Mus musculus: one gene and its partner. The protein of the gene in region 2 interacts with the protein of the main gene of each other region in a pairwise test. Links are inferred from orthologs where the notes say so. Each region holds a gene or a part of one and is shown on either strand. Other genes may lie near its edges. The genes, in order: Numa1 and Brap.

What was found.
Region 1: the proteins of Brap (region 2) and Numa1 interact in a two-hybrid assay, tested with the Homo sapiens proteins (2 studies listed by BioGRID and IntAct). The link is inferred for Mus musculus from reciprocal best matches to the Homo sapiens genes BRAP and NUMA1.

Annotation. Positions count from the first base shown.
Region 1 is NC_000073.6:102,007,646-102,011,459, reverse strand, and holds part of Numa1 (nuclear mitotic apparatus protein 1), read right to left. Parts: intron 2,370-3,814; coding exon 2,250-2,369; intron 2,167-2,249; coding exon 1,948-2,166; intron 1,844-1,947; coding exon 1,686-1,843; intron 628-1,685; coding exon 381-627; intron 1-380. UniProt on the Homo sapiens protein: Microtubule (MT)-binding protein that plays a role in the formation and maintenance of the spindle poles and the alignement and the segregation of chromosomes during mitotic cell division.
Region 2 is NC_000071.6:121,670,432-121,674,245, reverse strand, and holds part of Brap (BRCA1-associated protein), read right to left. Parts: intron 2,162-3,814; coding exon 2,048-2,161; intron 1-2,047. UniProt on the Homo sapiens protein: Negatively regulates MAP kinase activation by limiting the formation of Raf/MEK complexes probably by inactivation of the KSR1 scaffold protein.

The DNA of each region.
Region 1 (3,814 bases), on a different chromosome or scaffold from region 2:
TAAGCCTAGAAGCAGCAGACCATTGAGAGCCACACCAAGCTACATCCTGGCTGCATGGCGTGCCAGAGGCTCGGAATGAGCTGTTATTTCCTCTATCCTGCTCTGTCTTCCGTCAGACAGGAGAGAGGACTCTGGCTGAGTTCAATTCCTAGCAACCACATGGTGGCTCACAACCATCTGTAATAGGATCTGACTCAGTCTTCTGATGTGCATGAAAACTGAGCAATTGTATATATAAAATCAATCTAAGAAGAAAAGAGACCATAAACAAATCTATGCCCTTTTAAAAGATGTTGTTCATACCTGAGTGTTCCTGATTTATGAGCCCTGGATAAGGAACTGGTGTTAATATCCAATAGTCCTATGCCCAATAACCTAACCTTGGTCATAGTGATGTTGATGATTTGTGTGGTACGGCGGCGAGCAGAGCGGGTCTTACGGCCGGAGTCAGGGAAGGCATCCCCCAGAGAGTCAAGGCTAGTCTCCAAGGGGGCCTGACCCCGAGCAGGAGTGGGGGTGAAGTAGAGGCTCTCCAGGGATTCCACTTTGGGGGGCAGGCGCTGGGAGATAGGTGAAGCTGGCTCTCCAGGGACACTGGTACCATCTGGTTGGGTACGAGGCAGCTTGCTGTAGCAAAAGACATTTGCCGAGATGCAGACCCTGAGCTAGAAGACATTATGTCTGTCTCCTTGCCCCAAACTGACTTAATCTTATTACAGGTAAATGTGGTAAAATACAGTACCACTGGTCTTTCAGAGATAGCAAAAGGGGGCCTTGACAGTCCACTCTTGGCTGCTCCTAACCCTTTCCTATAGCAGCTCTCAGATCTCTCTACCTTAGCCCAAACCCTGCTCTTCAGGTCAGACAGCTATGGGCCCAGACCTCCCCCCCAGCAGATGCCACAACTGCTCGACAATTAATGGGGCCTACCCTAAACCCCTCTGCATGTTCTTCCTCCTCTATCTCCTACTTTACTAAGTAGGGACACCTTCACATGAACATGGGTGTAATTGGACATCTTCTACCATACACAACCATGGTCAACATCCAAGAAGCTCTCCTAGCTGCACACTCCCTTCCCTCAGCCTCAGTTCATCTCACCTAGACCTAGACTGCCATGAGACACTATAAAGTAGTGATAAGCAAGAACTCAGGACAGGCTGCCAGGCTCAGACCTGGCTCTATCACTGTGGATCCCCCAAAAGCCCAATTCTATCTGTTTAAGGAGAGATAATGAATAGAGCCTAAAATGGTTGCTAGGAGAAAGCTGAAGTTGTAATTGTTCCAAGAACTGGGAACACTGGCACACAGTACAGTACACATTTGATAGAAACAGTAACTGTACTGCTAACCTTTGACTTCAATACTGTCAGGAAACTAAGATGCAAATCCAACCTGTAGTCCTCAATTTCAGCACTTCTGAAGTTTATCAGTCTTTAGTGCAGTCAGCCTCTAGGCTCGCAGGCCTACTTGGCCTCGCATTAAAGGCTGCTCATCCACCTCTGCATAGCTGTACAGTTTATCAAAACTCAGAAAAGCTTCCCCCAAGGCTTTCCTAACTGCCCCACCTCACCTCTTTTTCACTTCTACTGTACCCTAAGCAGGCATCTGTCGTAGAAGAACCACAGGCTAGAACAGCGCACACTCAGTGAACAGGCACAGGATAGAGAGGCATGTCTCCTAACCTAGCCACACTGCATGGGGTTCCCTCCTCCAAACTCAGATCCAGGCTGTCAATACTTAAGTCCAGCTGGGGTTTCACTTGAGGCTCACGGCTCTTTAAGGCATCAGTTGCCACCTGGAATTTGCCCAAGTCACGAAGCTGCTGGTCTGCATGGGCAACCTAGGAAGTAAAATAAAAAGCCTAGAGTAGGGGTGGCCTTGGAGAGGAGATATGGAGTACAACAGTACAGGGGTGAGGTGCTTCTGTTTAAAGTAGGTTCTTACCTGGGCCTCCAGGCTGCGCACCTGGGCTGTAAGGTGACGGCAGGTCTGTTCAGCTTCCTTGGTCTTCAGCCCTGCCTGCTGCAGCTCACGGCCCAGACGTTCAGCTTCAGACCGCAGCTCCTTGTTCTCCTTCTGCAGTTCCTCCAAGTCTTGAAGCTGTTCCTGCAGCTTTTGGTTCTGCTGCTTCTTGGCATCATAATGGGTCTTGGCTTTCTCCATCTGTGTGGACAGACAGGGTGTGTGTGGCAGAGCCTAGAAAGGGTCAGGAAGAAAGGCAGAGCAGGACGTTCCTGGCCCCTCACCTGGAGCTTGTAATGCTCAGCTGCCTGCTCCTTCTGGCTCAGCTGGGCCTGCAGCTCGTTCAGCTGGGTCTGGAGGCGCTGGACCTCTTGCTGGCTTTCACCTCTCTGGGCCTGGAAAGCCTGAGAAGTCAATCAAAACAAGGAAATTCTGATTACTCTACCCAAACCCACTGGCCTACCCTTGCTGCTCAGTCTCCACAGGTACTGCAGACTCCTCTAATATAGTCTCAGGACTCTTAGGACACCTTGGCCCAATACACACATTCCCTCCAACTGCAGCCTACAAAACAATTACATTCTCCCTCCCAGACCATCTGCTGGCTCTAATGTGTCTCACAGTTCTGCTGCCATATATGAGGCCAAGCACCAAGTATCTCTCCCAAGGGAACAGAATCTGATCTTCAGAGAATACCGTGGTATAGAGAGCACAGTGGGAGACAACTGCATATGCATGTCAATGTCAGGAACTCACTTCTCCAAACCACTCCAAGAAATAACTTTTATCCTTGTTTTAGAGAGGAAAAAAGAGATCAGAGATTTAGACAAACTGACCAAGGTCATCCACCTAATCCACAACTGTGGATGCTGGTTCACTTACGATGCCAGCATTGCCTCCTAAGGGGACCATAACTCCTCAAGAGCAGGCTCGCAGGTAATTCTGTTAACCTGCAGTATCAGCTTTGTTCACTACAGGTACTGGGTGGCTGCATCCCACCTACACTCTCCTACATCTGCTAGCTCATAACCACCCTCAAAAGGAGCATGATGGACCTACTTACTGTTCACTGTTGTTCAACAGTCCATGGGCAAGGAAGCTCAGAGATCCACTACCTGGGACCCACTATGTGCTACACAGTCCCAGTGGAACTAGTCCCTGATCCTTTGCCCTTAACTAAGGGATGGGAAGCTTAGAGCTACAAAAAGCAAACACTGGAACAAAGATGGTAACAAGATTAGAAGCATTAAAAGTGTTAAGTGCTGGTCATTATGGCACATGCCAAGTAATCCCAGTGCTCTGGGCTGCATAATTAGACCCTATCTCCCTTACCAAGGTGGGGAAAGTTTTTTTCCACAGAACTTTCTGGGATGGAGGAATTGGTCCTATTCTGTCTTGTCATTAGCCATTCACCTACTGACTGGGAAAATGTGACTAGGGTAAATCAAGAACTACAAAAATGTCAAGCCAGGCGTGGTGGAGCACGCCTTTAACCCCAGCACTCGGGAGGCAGAGGCAGGCAGATTTCTGAGTTCGAGGCCAGCCTGGTCTACAAAGTGAGTTCCAGGACAGCCAGAGCTACACGGAGAAACCCTGTCTCGAAAAAAACAAACAAACAAAAAAGCCCCCCCCCACCCCCCGCCCATTTTGAGGTGCTGGACTGGAAACTGAACCTAGGAACTAGTGCTCTACCACTGAACTATACCTATGCCTTGATTTTTTTTTTTTTTTTTTTAAACTAAAAAGGATAGTGGCTGTAATAGAAGGCTTTTCTGTGAGAGATTCCTGAAGACAAAGTCAATGTTTCTGAGGCCCAGGATAGTTTCTTGGGCAACTAACCCCCCCCCCC
Region 2 (3,814 bases):
AAATGTGTGTGTGTGTGTGTGTGTGTGTGTGTGTGTGTGTGTGCACACGTGCATAGTCCAGATGCATGCATGAGCCAGTAAGTATCAGAAGATGACACTGGATCCTCTGGAACTTGAGTCACAGGGCAATGTGAGCTGCCATATAGGGAGCTGAAAACCTGAACCTGTGTCCCCCACAAGAGCAGGAAGCAGCTTAAGTGCTAAGCCATCTCTTCAGCCTCTGGACTCTACCTCCTGAATGCTCAAATTCCAGGCCTACATCACTACGGCCAGCTTCTGGGTCTAGTTTAGGGTCTATTTTAAATTTTTTTTAATTACATTTTTATGGGCTGGGGAGTGGTGGCACATGCCTTTAATCCCAGCACCCAGGAGGCAGAAGCAGGCTGATCTCTGTGAGTTCGAGACTAGCCTGGTCTACAGAGGGAGTTCCGGGACAGCCAGGGATACACAGAGAAACCCTGTCTTGAAAAAAAAAAAAAACAAAATAGTTAATTAAAAAATAAGTTACATTATATTTAGAATATATGTGTGCACGTGTGTGTGTGTGTACATGTATTACACACATGTGGAAGCCCAAGAACAACGTTCACAAGTTAGTTCTCTCCTTTACCCACATGGGTTCCCTGCACTGAACTCAGTTCACAGGCTCTGTGGCAGGAAATACCTTTATCTGCTGAGTGTGAAACCCTGACAGTTCTGGAACTCTATTTGTAGAGGAGATATTGGACTCAAACTCAGAGATCTGCCTTCCTCTGCCTCAAATACTAGGATTAAAATCGTGAGAAAGCCTGGCTATTAAGATCTCCTTGAAAAGGAAGAGAATCTTACAGCATCATGGAGGCTCTCTGGCCTCCAGAGCCAAGTCTGCTATTTACTATAAATGGCCTAGTGAGCCAGTAGTACAGGCCAGGCTCCGAGGGAGCTGCCCTGCTGCAGATGAGAGCCAGAACATGTAGTCAGCAAGACTGAACCTTAGCACTCAGGAGACAGAGACAGGAGGATCTCTATGAGTTCGAGGCCATCCTACTCTACATAGTGAGTTCTAGGACAGCCTGCCTTAAACAAACAAAACAAAAAACTAAGCATGGTAGCACAGGCCTTTAATACTAGTACCAGGGAGGCAGAGGCAGATGAATTTCTGTGAGTTCAAGGTTAGCATGGTCTACACAGCAAGATTCAGGACAGCCAGGGCTACACAGAGAAACCCTAAAACAAAAAGCTAGGATGGAGATTGGGGTTAATAGTTTGAACAAATATGCTTCTTTCTGCTCCAAACTGTACTCCATCGTTCTGGGATAGTTTTAACAGGGCAGAAATCTTTTCTTTGATTTGGGGACAGGACCTTATTATATAGCCTAGGTTGGCCTCCAACTCAATAGTCTCTTACCTCTGCTTCCTGAGTGCTAGGGTCACATGCATGTGCTACCAAACCTGTTTTCTACATCTTAAAGATGAGAGATATAATGGGCAGGAAAGATGTCTGAGTGGTTAAGAGCATTGACTGCTCTTTCAGAGGACCTGATTCAATTTCCAGCAACCACATGATGGCTCACAACCATCTGTAATGAGATCTGACACCTTCTTCTGGTGTGTCTGAAGATAGCTACAATGTACTCATATACATAAAATAAATAATAAATAAATCTTTAAAAACTGAGATATAACATTTTTTCGTATGTTTGTTTTTTAAGAAGGACCTTGCAGTGTTAGCTTTGACCTTGCCAAACCACCTGTGAATTCATGCCCCTCCCTATTCAGTGCTAAGACTCTCCATTTTAAACTGGGTGGATTTTAGTATGTCCACGCTAACTACTCCATTCATCCTACATCCCGCACCACCATCCGTCAACAATCCATTAGCCCAGAAGAACCTCTACATCTGTTTGCTGGCCCCTCCCACTCCCCTTTTCTCCCAGACCCCAGAGCCCATCTTGTTTCTACTCTCAGTCTTTACAGGAAGGCCTATTCCTGATGTTTGGCAAGCATCTTAACATTCAATTCTGTACGGATCAACATTTCATCAGATGTAAGAAGACTTCACACTTACATCTTCAGATTTCAGCACTTCAGCCCTTTCCACATAGACCAGCTGGCAGACGTCATCTTCGATTGAGTTGAACTGGCGGCCATTGCACGCCATGTAGAAACTGTCTGCATCAGCCTGTGCATACCATAGGGAGAGGGGAAAATAAAGGCTGGTCATGGAAGATGCACTCTCCATTCCCACATCCCCACACATTTGCAATAGAAGCAGCAAGCTCTGGAGCCATCAAGTCAACAGAGCTCTGCAGCTCGGTGTCCAGGCTGTTGAGAGGTTTGCCTTACAAGGCAGAAGGTAGTGCCATGTGCTGAGCAGAGAACATTCAACCTGCCATCTGTCTACAAGTTTCTGGACAGTTCTTTCCCCAGTAGTCATTATTTTTGAGGCACTTGGAAGAAGACACATACTTCTTAAAATTCTGGAACTAAATTGTAACTGTCACACAAAAATTGGAAAAAATGGAGTAGGGGACGAAGACTAGGGGTGAAGAGATGGTTAAGAGCATTGACTGCTCTTCCAGAGGTCCTGAGTTCAATTCCCAGCAACCACATGGTGGCTCAGAACCATCTGAAATGGGGTCTGATGCCCTCTTCTAGTGTGCCTGAAGACAACTACAGTGTACTCACATACATCTAATAAATAAATACATACAAGCATACATACATACACACATACATACATGATGCCCTTAAAGAACCATCATTCATTTGAGGAAAAAAAAAAAAAAGAAAGGAAAAAAAGTTGGGCACCCTTCTACAGGCCTTTAATCCCAGCACTTGGGAGGCAGAGGCAGGCAGATCTCTGAGTTCAAGATCATTCTGGTCTACAGAGTGAGTTCCAAGACATCCAGGATAACACAGAGAAATCCTGTCTCAAAAAAAAAACAAAAAAAAAAAAAACAAAAAAAAAACCAACAAAACCCAAACTTATCATCTTGTTAAAGAATAAGGAGCAGTACGGATGAAAAGCCAGCTCATCTTCAGTTGACTGAGGAAGCACTCCACACCAATCACCTGTCAGGATGCCTCGTGCAGATCAAGGTGTCCTAGCCTGGGGCTGTGAGAGAGCACTGCCTGCTCTCACAAAGATCCAGGGCTCAGTTCCGCATGTGGCAGTTCACAACCCAGACTAACCAGCCTTCAACACTGAGCTGCTCTTTCATGGTGGCATAAATTGTAATAGACGTGGAGAAGGTAACGCAAAACAACACCAGATCAGGCTTAGTGTAAAGCAACAAGACGACTCCAGTGCTAAACTCAGTTTGTCCCGGCAGGGGCGTCAGACCAAACACAGGAAGGCCGCCTGCTCCAGCACTACTCATGCTGACGAGCTGCTTAGGGGATGGGGACAGCTTCCTCAAAAACAAAACTGTTTTCTCTTCCATCAAGGCTGTTCCACCAAAGCATCCTTCCTGCCTCTCCTTCTCAGGCCCTCAATCTCAAAGCCACAGTACAACAGTTTCTTCTTCCATTCCAGTAATGTAAGCTCACAGATTTACATTAATTTTTATTTTATGTGTGAGGGTGTTTTGCCTGTATGTGTGTGTACCACATGCATGCAGTGCCTGAGGAGGCCAGAAGAGGGCGTCTGATCCCCATCAAGTGTGGTTACAGTTATGACTGCCAACTGGTTGGTCAGAGACTGAACTAAGATCCCCTCCAAGAGCAGCCAGCACTCTTGATTGCTGAGCCATCTCTCCAGACCTGCACTTTGGATTTTTGCTTATTTATGCTTTCTTCACATAAGCCTATTGGTTAAACTCAGCCCCGAGAA